Bombyx mori: one gene and its partner. The protein of the gene in region 2 interacts with the protein of the main gene of each other region in a pairwise test. Links are inferred from orthologs where the notes say so. Each region holds a gene or a part of one and is shown on either strand. Other genes may lie near its edges.

Evidence for each region.
Region 1: the proteins of proteasome 25 kDa subunit (region 2) and vesicle-fusing ATPase 1 interact in binary tests that used the Caenorhabditis elegans proteins (3 or more experiments, as listed by UniProt). The link is inferred for Bombyx mori from reciprocal best matches to the Caenorhabditis elegans genes pas-2 and nsf-1.

The regions. Positions count from the first base shown.
Region 1 is NC_085128.1:5,780,887-5,784,712, reverse strand, and holds part of vesicle-fusing ATPase 1, read left to right. Parts: intron 1-1,948; coding exon 1,949-2,148; intron 2,149-3,238; coding exon 3,239-3,371; intron 3,372-3,826. UniProt on the Caenorhabditis elegans protein: Required for vesicle-mediated transport. Catalyzes the fusion of transport vesicles within the Golgi cisternae. Is also required for transport from the endoplasmic reticulum to the Golgi stack.
Region 2 is NC_085130.1:10,804,523-10,808,979, forward strand, and holds the start of proteasome 25 kDa subunit, read right to left. Parts: upstream 2,849-4,457; 5' UTR 2,836-2,848; coding exon 2,795-2,835; intron 2,609-2,794; coding exon 2,532-2,608; intron 2,369-2,531; coding exon 2,270-2,368; intron 1-2,269. Other genes in the region: uncharacterized protein LOC101740923, read left to right, coding at 3,132-3,420. UniProt on the Caenorhabditis elegans protein: The proteasome is a multicatalytic proteinase complex which is characterized by its ability to cleave peptides with Arg, Phe, Tyr, Leu, and Glu adjacent to the leaving group at neutral or slightly basic pH.

The DNA of each region.
Region 1 (3,826 bases), on a different chromosome or scaffold from region 2:
ACCTAACAAGTAGATGAGCTTACGGGGTTCAAACTTGACGAGCCCTAGCAAGAGCAGTGCTTCGCAGAATCTACCACCGGATCGGAAACGCGATCCACTGAGAAGATCCGGCGAGAAACCCAGTGGGTTGTGTCTGTGGGTTACTTTACGCGTGGAGTCCTTCGTCGCAAGCGACGGGTTCGACGGGAACGGTGACCGGAACTCATACATCGACTACGTTTTAGCATAATATGTTATTTTTCTAGCTGGCTTTAAGATGTAGATGATTAATTCACTAAAGCAATCACCTCTCTTCTAATAATCAATTAGATATCTATTAAGTAAAAGTCAGGCCTGAATGTTACCGTAAACATGTACATAATATATGTATATATGTTTTTTTTTTTTTTTATTGCTTAGATGGATGGACGAGCTCACAGCCCACCTGGTGTTAAGTGGTTACTGGAGCCCATAGACATCTACGACGTAAATGCGCCACCCACCTCGAGATATAAGTTCTAAAATCTCAGTATAGTTACATCGGCTACCCCACCCTTCGAACCGAAACGCATTACTGCTTCACGGCGGAAATAGGCAGGGTGGTGGTACCTACCCGTGCGGACTCACAAGAGGTCCTACCACCAGTAATTACGCAAATTATAATTTTGCGGGTTTGATTTTTATTACACGATGTTATTCCTTCACCGTGGAAGTCAATCGTGAACATTTGTTGAGTACGTATTTCATTAGAAAAATTGGTACCCGCCTGCGGGATTCGAACACCGGTGCATCGCTTCAACACGAATGTACCGGACGTCTTATCCGTTAGGCCGCGACGACTTCAAAAGTCGAGGGGTGTAACGCTATTTGGTTTAAGCGACATTTCGCTTGACACGCGATATTTATCTTTGTAATTAAATGTGCGTTTTGTTTGGTATTAGCATTAACAATTCGATGTGTTTAACTGAACTTCAATTACGTTTACCCTATTCAAATAGCCAAAGAAGTTTTTTTTTGTATTGATATTTGTTGATATAATACTAGACAAAATATTGACATTGAAACTGAAATATGTACATTGACATCTATATCTATATTGAAACATTTTGATTAGGCATATTGTGAGCATACTCTGCTCTAGTAATGATAACTTACTGAAAGCCACCAATTTGTTTTAAATTAATATAGTTTGTATAATTTTTATGATCCACTTCATTGATTATTTAAAAGCCGAAAATTTTACTAATCTATATAGACATTCTCACGGCGTACATACTCTCTTACGTATCTCAAGAAGATTGCATTGTAATAGGTACTGTTTCTATTTTTTCATTGCCCTTGTAGGCAGACGAGCATATGACCCACCTGATGGTGAGTTGTTGTCGTCGCCCATGGACTTCAATGTCAGGGGCAGAGCCAAGCTGTTCCTACCATAATTCTGTCTCACCCTTCAATATCGAATTCACCTTTCATCTTAAAGTATTCACAACGCGTTCACAAATACAATGTAATTTTATAAAGTTGTCGTGGCCCAAAGGATAAGACGTCCGGTGCATTCGTATCTAGCGATGCAACGGTGTTCGAATCCCGCTGGCGGGTACCAATTTTTGTAATGAAATACGTACTTAACGAAATGCTCACGATTGACTTCCACGGTGAAGGAATAACATCGTGTAATAAAAATCAAACCCGCAAAATTATAAATTGCGTAATTACTCTTGTGAGTCCGCGCGGGTAGGTACCACCGCCCGGCCTATTTTTGCCGTGAAGCAGTAATGCGTTTCGGTTTGAAGGGTGGGGCAGCCGTTGTAACTATACTGAGACCTTAGAACTTATATGTCAAGGTGGGTGGCGCATTTACGTTGTAGATGTCTATGGGCTCCAGTAACCATTTAACACCAGGTGGGCTGTGAGCTCGTCCATTCATCTAAGCAATAAAAAAAGAACTAATCCTAATTAATTTATTTAGGCTGCAAGCACGTGAAGGGAATCTTGCTCTACGGTCCGCCCGGCACCGGCAAGACTTTGATGGCCCGACAGATCGGGAAGATGCTAAACGCCCGCGAACCGAAGATCGTCAACGGCCCACAGATATTGGACAAATACGTTGGCGAGAGCGAGGCCAACATTCGACGTTTATTTGCCGACGCCGAGGAAGAAGAGAAGCGAGTGAGTTTCGGAAAATTAAACTACTTAGAATATGTTCTAAGCGGACGTGATGATTTCTCATACCTGATCCTGGTAATCGATGGTAAACAGTCGACGTCGCCCAAAACACGTCATTACGGATTAGCGGTGCTTTTAGGTACCTCAAGCACCGGTCACCGTCCTCGCTGAACCTGTCGCTTGCGACGAAGGGCTCGACGAGCGAATTAACCCATAGATACAGTCCACTGAGTTTCTCGACGGATCATCTCAGTGGGTCGCGTTTCCGATCCGGTAGTAGACTCTGCGAAGAACGGCTCTTGCTATGGTCAGTGTTAGCATCACTCCGGCTTGAGCCCCGTGAGCTCACCTACTAGTTAAGGTTACGCTGAAATAGCCTCCCAAGGCTATCAGCTTAGGTAGGAAAAAAAAGATGATTTTTCAATTTTATAGTAAAGCTTTTTGAAGGAATTATGATAGAGAAGAAAATATGGGTTTATAATTTTTTGTAGGCAGACGGGCATAGGGCCCACCTGATATGAGTAGTCACCGTCGTCCATGGACTTATGGAATTTCAGCAATGCCAGGGGCAGGGCTAAGCCGCTTCTGCTGTTCTTGCATTTAAAATACACTATAACTTCTTCTTCTTAGTCGAATACTTCATTGCTGAAGGTCGTGTCCTTGAAAGCCCTTCGTGGCTCTTTGTACCCTCAGCTTCCATTTGCTTCGGTTTTCGGCTTCTCTCAGGGCGCTCGCAACAGAGAGTCCAGTGAGCGCAGTTATCTAATCCGACCAACGGTATGGTGGCCGGCCGGCAGGTCTTTTCCCTTCTAGCTTGCCCACCACAATCAAGCTTTCAAGGTTGTCTGGTGGCCGCCGAGCAATATGACCAAAGTAACCAAGAACCTTCTGGTAGCAAATCGTCTCATTTCTATACGAACAGTCTCGTTTCTATACGAAGTTGCTCGAGGACAGATTTGTTTGTTCTCTTGGCGGTCCACGGCATGCTTTTTTTTATTTTTTTTATTGCTATTTATTGCTATTTATGCGGAGCATTCTTCGCCACTATTCGACACTATAACTATCGATCGTTAATAAAGCCATCGGTTTACAGTGCGGAGCGAACAGCGGGCTTCACATCATAATATTCGATGAAATCGACGCGATCTGCAAGGCCAGGGGCTCCGTCGGCGGCAACACCGGCGTCCACGACACCGTCGTCAATCAGCTCCTCTCCAAGATCGACGGTCGGTTCACATCTCTATACGTTTGCTTTCTGGTAACTTTAATTTAACGACCGTCTGCTGTACAACGGCAGTCTGGTGTAGTGTACAATGGTCACTATACAAGGGGGTCGCGGGTTCGAATCCCACCAAGGAAAGATATTTGTATGATAAATATAAAAACGTTTTTTCCAGGGTTATGGATGTATATTAAATATAATATGTATGTGTATAATAAAAATCTTTCATTTATTTCCGTTATCTGGTACCTGTAACACAAGTTCTTTACGAACTTAGCACGGGACCAGTTAACGTGGGGTGATTGTTAATAAATAATTTTTTATTAAAAAAAAAAAAAGTGGATGCCGAACTCTGCATAGAGTTCAACTTGCAACCTAACCTAAACATCAGTCCGTTGAGTTTCACACCGGATATTCTCACCGGGTCGCGATTCCGATCCGCTAATAGATTCATTCGCG
Region 2 (4,457 bases):
TTCTGTTCGGTATATGGAAAGTTTAAATTAAGATACTATTCTACTTTAAAAGGTATATTAATGATTTTTTTATACTGTTGAGTGCTAGTGTGTTAGGGTTTTTCTGGAGAGGATTACTTGTACCAACGTCAATTAGTTACCTGTTTCCTTAATTCAAGCCAATAATGTATCCCGAATTTGTATCTAGTAAGCTAAAGCTATGCTCATATTTATATATACCATAGACATTTTCCCTCATATTGACCAAGCGGACATGTCACAAATTGTTTTTTTTTTTTTATTGCCTTTGTAGGTAGACGGGCATACTGCCCACCTGATGGTGAGTGGTTACCGTCGCCCATGGACTTCAGCAATGTCAGGGGCAGAGCCAAGCCGCTGCCTACCGCTTAAAAAAAAATCCTAACTTAAGTAGGATTTTTTTTTCATTCCTATACTCTAGTAACCTTGAGGAGTTATTCTAGATTCACCGAACCAGTAGGTGAGCTCACGAAGCTCAAACCTTGACGACGTTGCTAATACTAACCCTAACAAAAGGAGCGCTTCGCAGAATCTACCACCGGGTCTGAAACACGACCCGCTGAGAAGATCCGGCGAGAAAGTCAGGTCACTCAGTGACGGGTTCGACGAGAAGGTTAGGATATGTATTGACAACCATAAACATGGTGTCCCAGAACTCAACGTCAAGCCGAAACCTGGTGACAGGAACAATCATGAGAAAAATCAGAAAAAAAATCTATCCAATGCAGTTTGGAAATTATGACCATTTAAGGAAAACCTAGAAATTTGGTCAAACTGTAACCATTTTTCGGTTATTGTGGTTAATTTTTATTATTTTTGTTCATTTAAACTTTGGAACCGTAACCCTAAATAACATTTCTAGAACCACAGTCAAAAATAAAAGCACAACTGACCCCAAGTTTTCTAGAATTAAGATTATTTGTCAAACTATGAATCTAAAATTTTCAAAATTTGTCGACTTTGAAAGGCCCTCCTTTAAAAAAAAGTACTAAAGTGCCTTGGCAAGTGCCATTAAAAGTTCGCGCATTAAATCAGGATTGTAAAATGGTACAAAACTTGTTAGTTTCATACTAAAAAAAATAAGAACCCCGAGTGACCTGATACTAACCCATTTTACTCAGTTCAAATGTTTTTTATTCACACAAGCTCTTGGTAGGTTCTTAATTTTACGACAAAATGATGAGAGAGATGGATAGCGGACATGTTTGCATGAGCGACCGAGACAGATAGTGACAGATATAAAACACAAATGATAACTATGATTGGTTTTATCACTAGTTTCATTTAGATTATACAATATTTTGTTATTCCACGGTAATATTGTGGGAGAATATTACAGTTTAGACCGAGCAGCAATTGCACCAATCTCACTTGAACTCTCCAACGATCCAACTCGATACGTTTTTATTGCTCAAAATGTGTCACCAGACAATATACGCCTTCCCAAAGTAAAGATGGCACCTTGACCATGCGGAAGATAAATGCTCTGCTCTGATTGGTTGTTACCTACATGAATTTACAATTTTGGCACCTTTTATTACAATTTATTTTTATAGAAGGTTTTAAAGCTATAGGAAAATGTAACAAACAAAATAAAATAAAATTAAGAATTATAAAAGTAATTACAACCTAAAAATAATAATATATGCATTTTGTATGTAAACAAGAATCAACTCTATTCATTGCTTCCTTTGACATATATATACAAGATAAATTCTTTATAACCAATATAATTGTTCATTTATAGGAAAGCAGTTGATGAAAGAAGAATTTATCCCATATAAGTGGAAGTCTGAAAATAGTACTGCACTGTGTAAATGATGATATGAGATGGGTATCAATGCCGAGATGACAATTTATAATAAGCCTGAATGGTAAAAAAGATATGTGCGTCAAGTTCACACAATGTAGGATGAGTAAGAAAAGCAGACAATACTTGTTCTCTTATACGAATAGGAGTATTAAGTAACTAATGTTAAAATTTAAAACTAACTAACATGTTTCTGATGTTTTTTTTTTTATATCTTAGATGGGTGGATGAGCTCAGAGCCCACCTGGTGTTAAGTAGTTACCTGAGCCCAGTATAGTTACAAGGGCTGCCCCACCCTTCAAACCGAAACGCATTACTGCTTCGCTGCTAGAAAATTCGCTTACGTTAAGCCCGTTAGCTCACCTACCTGTTTAGGCGTAACTGGAATGGCCTCCTAGGCTATCAGCAAATAAGTAGGGACAAAAAGGAGACTCAACTCACCAATGTGGCCAGTTATCATCTCGACTTTGTTGACACTGTGTTCATCATACAGTATGCTCTTGTGTTTGTTCTCTGTGGCAATCACGACGCCATTTGACGCTGCAAATATGAAAACATCCTTTTTACTCTTAAAAATACTGAGTCATCCTGGGAAAAAATATACATTTGCGGTTTTTTTATGTGATGATACACAGTAATTAGTACAAAGGAAGTTATAGTTCTAGTTTAGAATTATAATAACCTTTAATTTTTATTTACTAACCTTTGATGCCGACGGAAGTACCACCGGCGGCTACGGCAGCTAAAGCATATTCGATTTGCACTAATTTGCCCGAGGGGCTGCAAAAACACAACAATTGAGATAACATTAACCAAAAATCATACCGCAACTTTAGTGTGAATCAAACAGAGTAGATTAGACGCTAAGACATTAAGCAACTTAAGTCATCATTGAAAATTATCACAGAACTTTATGTTCCATTGCTAATTAGACTTTTAAAACATGTAAATATATAGTTTTTTTACCTAAATGTTGTGAGAGAAAAACTGTATCTCTCCGACGCCATGATTACAGTGCAGATTGTCAAATTTGTCAATAATTCACTGCGTCATGTTGTCATCACTGTTTTCCAATCGTTCAGAAATATTTCTCAATTAGTTTGATCACATCTTCTTAAATTTTTTATATGGCAACATCAAATTGACTCACTCCTTATTGGTCAATTGGATTTAGTCTGAAATAGGCTTAACCAATAAAAGGCGATGCTTCTCGCTCAATATTTTGTTGTCGCATCCTTCTAAAAAAATCTATTTTTAATTTAATGGTTTCCCATTGAAATACGTGCGTAAACATTAGTGCGTTATGTCGGTTGGCCTCCGCGGAGTATCTTCGTCCTCAGAGACCATGTCCGAGAGCACGTTAGAGAGAAACCGAGCTGAAAAGGCTCTGATAACAAAAACTCCAACGCATACGTTACTCAAAAGTAATATTAAAAATTATTCGGACAGGAACGGGAACGATGTCACGGAAACCGTACACAGAGGGAGGAAAACCTTCGCATTTTGGACTCTCGTTTGTCTTTTATTCGTATTGGCTATCGGGAACTTAATTCTGACATTCACGATACTAGCCGTCTTGAGATTGGGACAAGGTAACTATTCTTGTTTTCAACAAAAAAATAATCAAACTGTAGATATTAGGACGTAATAGGTCTTAATAAGTAAGTTCTTTTCTAACGCCCTATCATTAGTTCGTCCTGCATATATGGAATGGAATATTTTAACGTAATTTTAACAGACTTAAAGACGTCCAAATAATTTGAAAATTCACACACACGTCTAGAAGCGACGTCAGTACCACAGTTTTATCGTTGATCTAAAATATCGATCAAGTTCACGTACAGTTTTGAAACTATATTTCTTTAGTACCTAAGCTACCCTATCATTGGTGTCCAACCGGATATAAAGACAAAGATAAGGTCTAAGGTCTTATACATTATTTTTCTGTTAATAACTTAAATACCGTATTTAACCTATGCCCATATCCTCATTACCATTATTAGGAAGGGAATTGAACAATTATCCTGTTCTTTTTAACTCTTCTTCTGATCTGCGTGCTGTTCCAACTTTTATACCCGATTCATCATCGTAAGCCTATAGTACATTGCTGGACCTCTCCAATTGTACGCCACTGAGCTTGATCCTCTGCTTCTCCCATCCAGCTCATACCAGCCACCCTGCATAGATCGTCACTCCACTGAGCCTGAGGACGTCCTGCACTATATTTACCAATTCAAGGTCTCAATTTAAGAACACTCTTATCCCAACGGTTTTCTACTCTCCGGCTAACATGGCCAGCCCATTTCCACTTCAGCTAGTAATCCACTGTGCTATGTCAATAACTTTGATAATACTTAATTAACTTTTAGTATTAATACAGGATTGAATCTGTGAAATGTCAATTAACAACATTCTTCACTAAGTTTGTCCATGGATATTAATATTTAAATTATTTAATAAAACCTTAACAAATATAATTATACAATTCTCACTCTTCAATCTTCATTAGAAACCTAAGGAATTAGTCATCTTTTTGTTATCACAATTTATTAATATTTATTATCAACGGATCTGATGTAAAAGGTGTAGAGTATACAAGGAAAGAAATAACTATGATATTGCTTAAATT